Linked DNA regions of Oryzias latipes. The protein of the gene in region 2 interacts with the protein of the main gene of each other region in a pairwise test. Links are inferred from orthologs where the notes say so. Each region holds a gene or a part of one and is shown on either strand. Other genes may lie near its edges.

The links.
Region 1: the proteins of khdrbs2 (region 2) and hnrnpr interact in binary tests that used the Homo sapiens proteins (3 or more experiments, as listed by UniProt). The link is inferred for Oryzias latipes from reciprocal best matches to the Homo sapiens genes KHDRBS2 and HNRNPR.

Annotation. Positions count from the first base shown.
Region 1 is NC_019869.2:6,651,875-6,656,430, reverse strand, and holds the start of hnrnpr (heterogeneous nuclear ribonucleoprotein R), read right to left. Parts: upstream 2,997-4,556; 5' UTR 2,827-2,996; intron 2,308-2,826; 5' UTR 2,304-2,307; coding exon 2,141-2,303; intron 2,058-2,140; coding exon 1,939-2,057; intron 1,861-1,938; coding exon 1,753-1,860; intron 1,651-1,752; coding exon 1,537-1,650; intron 902-1,536; coding exon 725-901; intron 579-724; coding exon 443-578; intron 357-442; coding exon 151-356; intron 73-150; coding exon 1-72. Other genes in the region: ATPase inhibitor A, mitochondrial, read right to left, coding at 3,933-4,074, 4,153-4,265. UniProt on the Homo sapiens protein: Component of ribonucleosomes, which are complexes of at least 20 other different heterogeneous nuclear ribonucleoproteins (hnRNP). hnRNP play an important role in processing of precursor mRNA in the nucleus.
Region 2 is NC_019873.2:24,520,917-24,524,738, forward strand, and holds part of khdrbs2 (KH domain-containing, RNA-binding, signal transduction-associated protein 2), read right to left. Parts: intron 3,611-3,822; coding exon 3,494-3,610; intron 1-3,493. UniProt on the Homo sapiens protein: RNA-binding protein that plays a role in the regulation of alternative splicing and influences mRNA splice site selection and exon inclusion. Binds both poly(A) and poly(U) homopolymers. Phosphorylation by PTK6 inhibits its RNA-binding ability.

The DNA.
Region 1 (4,556 bases), on a different chromosome or scaffold from region 2:
CTGTGAGAAGGTCTTCTCCAGCAGCTCCTCAGTCACTGCTGTTGCCAGCTTCCTTACAAAAAGCACCTTCACCTATGACAGAGGAGAGTATGTCTTAGAATCATTTTACAGGTACAGGTACTTCCATTTCTGAACAGGAAAATAGCTCACCTTTGCCATGACCTCTGGGTCGGGTTCAGCTACAGGGTCAGCCCACTCAACGGTGACGGGGTTGCCCCAAACCTTCACCTTCCCACTCATTAGACGCCGCCGAGCTTGTGCTGCAGACTTGTGGTCCTCGTACTCCAGAAAGCAGAAGCCACGGTTCTTCTTCTTATCGTCTGGCTGGTGGTACAAAATCACATCCTGAAGACCCTCTGCAAAGAAAAACCGCATCACTCGTCAGCGACAGACAACCGACTGAAAGGGTTTCTCCAAATACAATCATTGACTTGAAACAGACCTGTAACCTTGCCGAAGTCTTCCAGTATACTTTCCCTCGTCTTGTTTTTGGGAATTGATCCAACAAACAGCCGGTTGTTTGCAACAGATATACAAACTCCCAAATACTTGCCAGGGCGGATTTCGTGGTTATCACACTAAAAACAAAAAAACAAAAAACAGCAAATACTTGAAAAGTAATGAAACACAGTAGAAGAAAACACACATTTGCTCAAACTATTCTTCCACAAAATCACTTTCTTTTATATCCAACGGGATCCATGAGATTTTAAAATGGACTTACAAGCTTGACGGCCTTTTGGGCATCGTCCTTGTTGCAGTATGTGATGAAAGCGTATCCTCTGTTTTGACCAGAAAGGGGGTCCATCATTAACCTCAGGTCCCAGATGGGACCTGCAGACTCAAACAGGGGCACAAGCTCGTCTTCATACAAATCTCTGGGGATTTTTCCTACAAACACCTGAAAGAAAGACAAAACACAAAAACTAAATCAATCATGAAAAAAATGACAATTCTATATAAAATTAAAACAATTTCCCTTCTAATTCAACTATCCATATTTATTTTCAACTTTCTTATTTACCTGCTTTATATATATATATATATATATATATATATATATATATATATATATATATATATATATATATATATATATATATATATATATGTGTGTGTATATATATTTCGTTTTAGCATGCGTATGTGAACGATTTTAAACTGATCTTGTGGCGTTTTCCTGTTGAAATAGAGGAAGAAAATTTAGCTCAAATTTGTATTTTTTGGGTATTTCTTTATTCAAATCTATGTAAATCAGGAGCAGACAAATTTAAAAAGATTGTATTTGTCATCTCTGCTCTGCAAAGGGAAAAGGGGGGCGGGGGCGCTTCACGGCAACGGTCCACTCAGGTGAATTTCTACTGAACTCCTGTCGCTCTGCGGAAACTATAATCTAGAAAACTGCACAGGTTTTTGATTGTTTTTCAAATGATATGAAAAGACCAGTGAGAACACTTTGAAAATAGATCAAAAGATGGTCGGAGTGGATCTTTAACGAACAGGATGTGTAATCATGCTTCTTTAAATAATCCCCACCTCTGTTCCAATCCCTGGATGTGTGCCTTTGAACATCTCCTCAGGTGGGGGGCCTCCATACTTTCTTTGTCCCGTGGTGACATCTAGGGTGTATCCTGTTCGCTCCAAGAGAGCCTTGGAAAGTAAACAATCAAAAAATGGGAAAAGCTTTGTAACTGAGAGAACATTTTGGCATTTCAACTTAGCCCAAAAAAACTGCAAATCAAGAGCGTTTACCTTTATTTTTGCCTCATCTGGGCCTTTAGTGGACTCTTGTACCTTACTGCCTTGTTTTTCTCTCTGCCTATACGTCTTCATAACTCCACAAAGAAACGCACTTTTATTCTGCAATTAAACAGACCAAATGATACTTTAGAAAACTGTTTAAAAAAGTACTGATGAGCACATAATTGAGTGTAATACCTGCACATGGGACAGATCGCTCTCCTTAAACTGCTGCAGGACTGTTAGAGCTCCCTCCTCATTGAACTCCCGTAGAGCATCAATGGCCCTTTCATCCAGATCTGCATACGCTACCAGGCCTAAACATCATGACAAAGTGAGCTAAACTGAACACATCAACAACAAACACATTGGAGCTTTGAAGGTAACAACAACCAGCCACCTGTTTGGAAAATGTTGTCTAGATTTTCAGCCACTTTCTGGGGAAGCCCTGCATCAATGAGGGTCTGGTAGTTTTCAGTGTGAGTTGTAGTTGTAGTCACATCCATAGGCTCCTCTTCTTCCTTTACTGGGGCCGAACTACCATTCACCTCAGCGGAAGCCATTCTCCTGTTAGATAGACATGAATAAAAACAGTTTTAGTTTATTACTTCATTTACTGTCAACTTGACATACCAGAAACAAGCTATCAAATTACGGAATATCTGGCTTTTAACTCAAAGATTTTTTAAACGAAAACGTTACGTTAAATGTCAGTATTATTATAAAAAACAATGTTATTTATTACTGATTTTCAAAATAAAACGACCCGCTCATACATTTTAAAAGGCTTATTCCACAGTACCGCCCCCTTCACATGGCGCCTGATCGATAGCTAACATCTTTCATTTATAATACTACGTGGCCCAAAATGTTCTAAAAGCTTAAGAAAAAAACAGTCATCAATGAGATCCAAAAAGTTCCACTCGTTTAAATGAAGTATTAAAGTCCATGTGTGTTGATTTTAGCAGTACACAAGAATACGTCCTAGCTAGCTAACGGGCTAACACGAAGGCCTCGCCGTGCAGCCCAGACACCTTTACACGCGCGCGCCGTAAAAGGCACAAACGGGTAGTTAGCAAGACTTACCAGGATGATTTAGAAAACTAGCTGGAAAATGTTTGAAAAAATATGAAACACTTGTTTTTTCGGGCGTTGGGAAAATGCTAAATGCCAAGAATGTTCAGGTCTACCACACGACAAATTTTTTCCAGACGGCAGCGGTCTCGTCTCGGCTCGCCCGAACAACGCCACTGAGGGAAACATCGCGAGATGTGAGAGTCTGCGGTACAACGTTGGTTTGCAAATCTAGCTCGTGTCATTGGGTCTTCAAAATGGAAACATGACTTTCTGTAATATTTTTTATTTTTCTCAATTTTATGTTTTGTAATATCCGCTTTAAAATTGTGTAAATTTCCAGAGGCTACAAGGAAATCAAACTGTTTTTACAAGTGTAATCAATCTCCTCACCATAACTTAGAAACCAACATATTTACATTTTTTCCAGTACTAGTAATTTATTTTATGATTAAATGATGGGGTGTTTGATTGTAAATTTCGATTAAAGTTGAAATATTGCCCTTTTAAAAATGTGATTTAATCCATGTAATAATTATTCCTCGTTTCATTTGGTTTATTCATTTGTCCTGTTTGGTTTAGTGAGGTAGGAAAGTATTTACAAGGTCTGAGTGAATTTCTTAAATGGGTAAATCCCTCAGACAGAGCTAAGGCCTGAAATGACAGACCTTTGTGAAAGTTTTGGCTTCAGTTTTGCAGCAAATGCCCTTCTTGGTCTGATGGAGCGTATCCATCCCCATAAGCTTGTGGTACCTTTACAGAACAATCCAAAGACTATCCAGATCTGACTTTGCTTAGCAGCTGAGATCACATAAGACCAGGTATCTCCAGCTGTGCCATCAGAAGTGTTCACAACCTCTCCATATCATCACCATAACAGGCTTAAAATAAAAACAAAAAATGAGTCCAGGTGTAACCGGGAACCCTAAATTTTGAGATGGCATAAACAGGGGAAATGAAAATCAACATAAACCAACAGAAAATCAATCATTTTATTTTGGAACGTATATAAAAGATAATCGTTTGCTTCATTAACTGCCAAAATGAGCAGATAGTCAATTATCTTTACATTGTTTTCAACGTTGCCACCCTTTCTATCAGAGTTGTGAGCGCAAACTTCAATCGTCATGTTTCAGTTTTCTAATCTTGCCAACGTGGCGGTCGATCTCCTTTTGCAGACGCTCTATTTCCTTCTTATGGTGCTCAATCTCTTCCGAATGATGCCTCCTCAGCACCTCCAGCAGCTCCATCTCCTTCTTTCTGCAGACAAAAACCATACTTGTCAAAAAGGGAAACGCTGGCATGAAGTTTTCCTCGAAAACCTGTTTCATTTCTTACCTGAAGTACCGCTCCTCCTCCACCACCGCTCGCTTTCCAAAAGCACCTCCTGCCTGCCTCACAGAGCCTCCTCCACCTCCACCTTTCCCTGCTCCTCCGCCCAACTCACCAAGCTGGAACAAAGGGCACATCATAGGATCCCAGCATGCAGTGGCTTTTCCATAAAAACGAGCAAACTTGACTTTTTTTGGTTTCAATTAGGCAACTGTTGCATAACAAAAAAAATTCTGTTTCTTTATTTACATTCCCCAAACATGACAATTCTTCATGCAAATAAAACAGCAGGTGTTTTTGGTGATTGTTGATTCCAAGAAGCTGCATTAAAAATCAACAGATCCAGATTTATTTCCAATCAAAATTATTATACATTGAGTTGAGTATATAAAACAAGAATTGGAAATACG
Region 2 (3,822 bases):
TGGGCCAAACAAAAGGCTGTTGGGCTGTTTTCCATATGAATTTTCCAAAGCTGAAATCTGAGCATCCTGCTAGATGGACGTAGCCTCTCGAGGATTTGAACCTGGCTCCAGAAACCTGAGTTGATGATGTGTTTTTGCTTGTAATTGAACTCTGGATGTGTCTTTTCGGTGCTGCTGCATTGCCAGCTGGCTCGAACAGCAGTAAACCTCTCACTCGTGACCTCTGGGTGTCAGTCTCATCACAAAACCTTCAGGCTAGTTCGGATGCTGCTCCAGATCAATAAAACAAACTGAAAACTCTAAGCCAAAACAGTATGTTGCTACTGCTGATAAAAACTGAGTGTCAATGTGTTAGCCTGAACACAAATTGATATGCAGGAGATGAATAAAGTCATAAAAACTGTGCTCTTATTTTAAAATGATCTGTTGAACAGAATTGAGTTATGTTTAAGTGCAGAAAAAAAAACAATAGGCTTTTTACTTTGAGTTGTCAAGAAATATACAATATATATAATAATATTAAACTGCATGATATTGTCTTTTTGCATAAATTGTTTTTTGTGGTAAGAAAATTATGAAGTATAAATGCAGTGATACACTGACAGGTTCACTCCTGACCACAAACAAAAGTAAATATATTGGTCACATTACATTTTTTTGCCCTTTGAAATTTTTGTAAACTTGATTTCAGTACTAATTTAATACTTGGTTTGCAATTGTATTACTTTCAATAAAAAGTAATAAATCAAAGGGGAACATTTTTAAGGATCATTGACTTTAGTTGAGGTTTCTTGTTTATTTTTTGTTTTATTTTGGTTGTGAAAAATTGTGTTTTGGGTTTTGCTTAAATAAAAATACTTAAATTATACTAGAAAATTTCATATGTTGTTTTATTAGAAGAGAATGGTTTGCTTTACAGCTAGAAAAGGTAATACATCCTCTTGTATTTTAGTTAAACTAAGCTGCACGCATTTCTACAGCACTCTGAAACTGCAGCAGTAAAGTTTGCATCATTAAGTCAAAGTGAAGTCAGTGTCAGTGTCATCCTGTTGTTTTGTTGCTAAAATAATATTTGGCAGTTAATGAATTTTTTTTATAAATTAATTCAATTTCTTGTATGAAATTTATCAAGCAATTATGAGTAGAGAATAACTGATTTGTATAGGGGAAAAAAGTAGCCAAACTTTAAGTACTGATGATACTTAACCCTACGATTCCATGTTTCTGTTGACTTTTGCTGACTTGAGGAAAAGCACAAATGATATATACATAAATAAATAATCTAAGTATTTGTGATTAGGTTGAAATATGATATGTTAAATGTACAAATGTAAGCGTGTGATTTTGGCCTTAAAGTAATTCAACTTTAAAAAAAACTTTGAAATTTCTTGAGCTTTTTTTTATTTTCATTATTTCAATTTAAACTTTTTTTATTTCTCAGGGACACAGCAGATTAAAAGCTTTCCATGCAATGAGCCTGAATTAGCTAAGTGGTTGTTTTTCATCTCCGGACAGATTTAAAAATTGTCTACCTAAAAAGCTAAAATACACCAATTAAAGACATATTTTAAAATCACAAAAAAAGTTATTTTAAAAATTAACACTCTTTTATGTTCACAAGTTGCAGGTTTTGTCCTAAATGCTTTCCAGTAAAATTGATGACCCATTTCTGAAGGTGCTGTATGGATAGAAAATAGTCAGATTTGTGATTGTCTGATCCTCGATTTGTAACTCCTACAATACATCTTGTACATCACGGTATACTTGAAAAAGTGGGAAAAATGTCAAGTTTCTACTAGATATTATTCACAATCTGAGTTCAAAGTGGCTAATTAGGAAAACTCTGATGACCTAGCATTTTAGCAGCATTTAAATGCATCATCTATGGACAAATCCGGAGGTGTGAAAAGAGTCTCACAGCCTGTCCTGCACCTGTAACTCCAATTGGTGTGTAAATATGGTTTTGTGTGCGTGTATCAGGCATTCAGTGCTTACTATTTAAAGATTTCTATGCATAGGAGCTGTGGTTAGTTTTAAGCGGAAATTTCAAGTTGTTTTCTATTTGTGTGCTTTTGATATTTGTTTGTATGTGAATACACAGTTACACACAAAATGTTTTGTATGAATTGAAAAACAAGTATTATGCACACACAAATCTAGTGAGACTATTTTTTCTACATAGCACAGCTGCATGAACAGTGTTAACTTCCATCTTATACACTTGCCTTATACAACGCTTACTCTGCATTGCTTGTGGTCAGGGTCAGAAAGTATCTTCCTTAAAATTATGTTTGAATTGTTTGGAAGCCGAACAACTGGAATATCAATGGCAGTGTAAAGAAAACAGGCAGAAGCATACAGTGCTAATCCACAATGAATGAGGTTTTCCTGCATACAAATCAAAGGGGAACATTTTTAAGGATCATTGACTTTAGTTGAGGTTTCTTGTTTATTTTTTGTTTTATTTTGGTTGTGAAAAATTGTGTTTTGGGTTTTGCTCCTCCCTCATATCACATTCACACCACGAGTTTTCATTCATCACATCTAGTTTTAGCTTGCTAATTACTGTCAGTGTTTTTAAAAAGCTCTTAGGATTTGGGATTTAATTAGGGATCCTCTTTTTTAAACCTGCCATTATTTTTGATTTAGTCAAGTTCCAATCCAGTTTGGTGTTTTAAATGATATTTTAGTTATTTAGTGATTTAACATTGTCCTCTTTTGTTTTATTTTGCCAACCACAGTTATGAAGGATGGCAAAGTTGGACAAAAATGATAAGCAGTAAGACAAGAAAAACGCCACAATTTTTGCTTTGCAGTTTAAATGACAGAAAATACATGAAAAAGATAACTTCAAATGTATCTGATAACCATACTTCCTTAGTCAACACTCACTTTAACCCCTCATTTCATTGTTGATTTTTTTCTCTAAAATAATCAATTACATCATTTTTAAAGCTGCAATAAATTCCCTCTATTATGTTATCATCTGCCTCTGCTTGACATATTGAAACATAGCTAAAGTTTCACTGAAGAGCTGGTAACTCTGCACTTCTTTTTCATGTCAAGATGTCCAAATCAGAGATTACAGTAATAATAGCAACGCAAATCAATATCGCTTCTCCAACAACTGTTATAGTCTTTGACTCAGAAAAGCTGTCTGTGCTCACTTTTTAGCTTCAGGGGATCCCAAGTCAGAGAGATAAATGACTCAGGCAGAGAGATCAATTACTTTGCATTCATAATTGACTATTACAGAAGATGCTATTAAACAAGACGAAAAAAAAACACACTACAGTTTTGCCTACATGTATTTGTCAAGTGGAAGCTATTAATTCTTGTGAACATTGCTGATCTCAGTCACTCCTCAGTGGTTTCGTGGAAATATTCCTCCGTGCTTTGGCGGAATCCTTTTATTTCTATGAAGACTTCTCTTGGAGGAACACATGAGAGTGCGAAGAAAAACATTTTTACAACACAAATCAATATATCTCACCTTTTCTTTATCCCTCATAGACCCTTTGCCAAGGATGGACATCTTCACTCCCGTCTCCTCTTGTAATCTTTTCATAGAATTTCCCCGTGGTCCCAGCAGCTTCCCCACAAAGTTAAACTATGACATAAAAGGGATTTGGGGAAGTTATTTGTACTGCCAGCGTTAAGGTAGAACACCAATCATATTTTGAAAAACAAATACTTCCAAATTTGTTAGCAGCATGCAGGAATTCAGACGTTCTGGGAAAAAGGTTAAACATAAAAGACACCTTCCATCTAATAGTCAGTTATTGAAAGAATAATCTCATGTTCCACTTGCTGCTCATCATG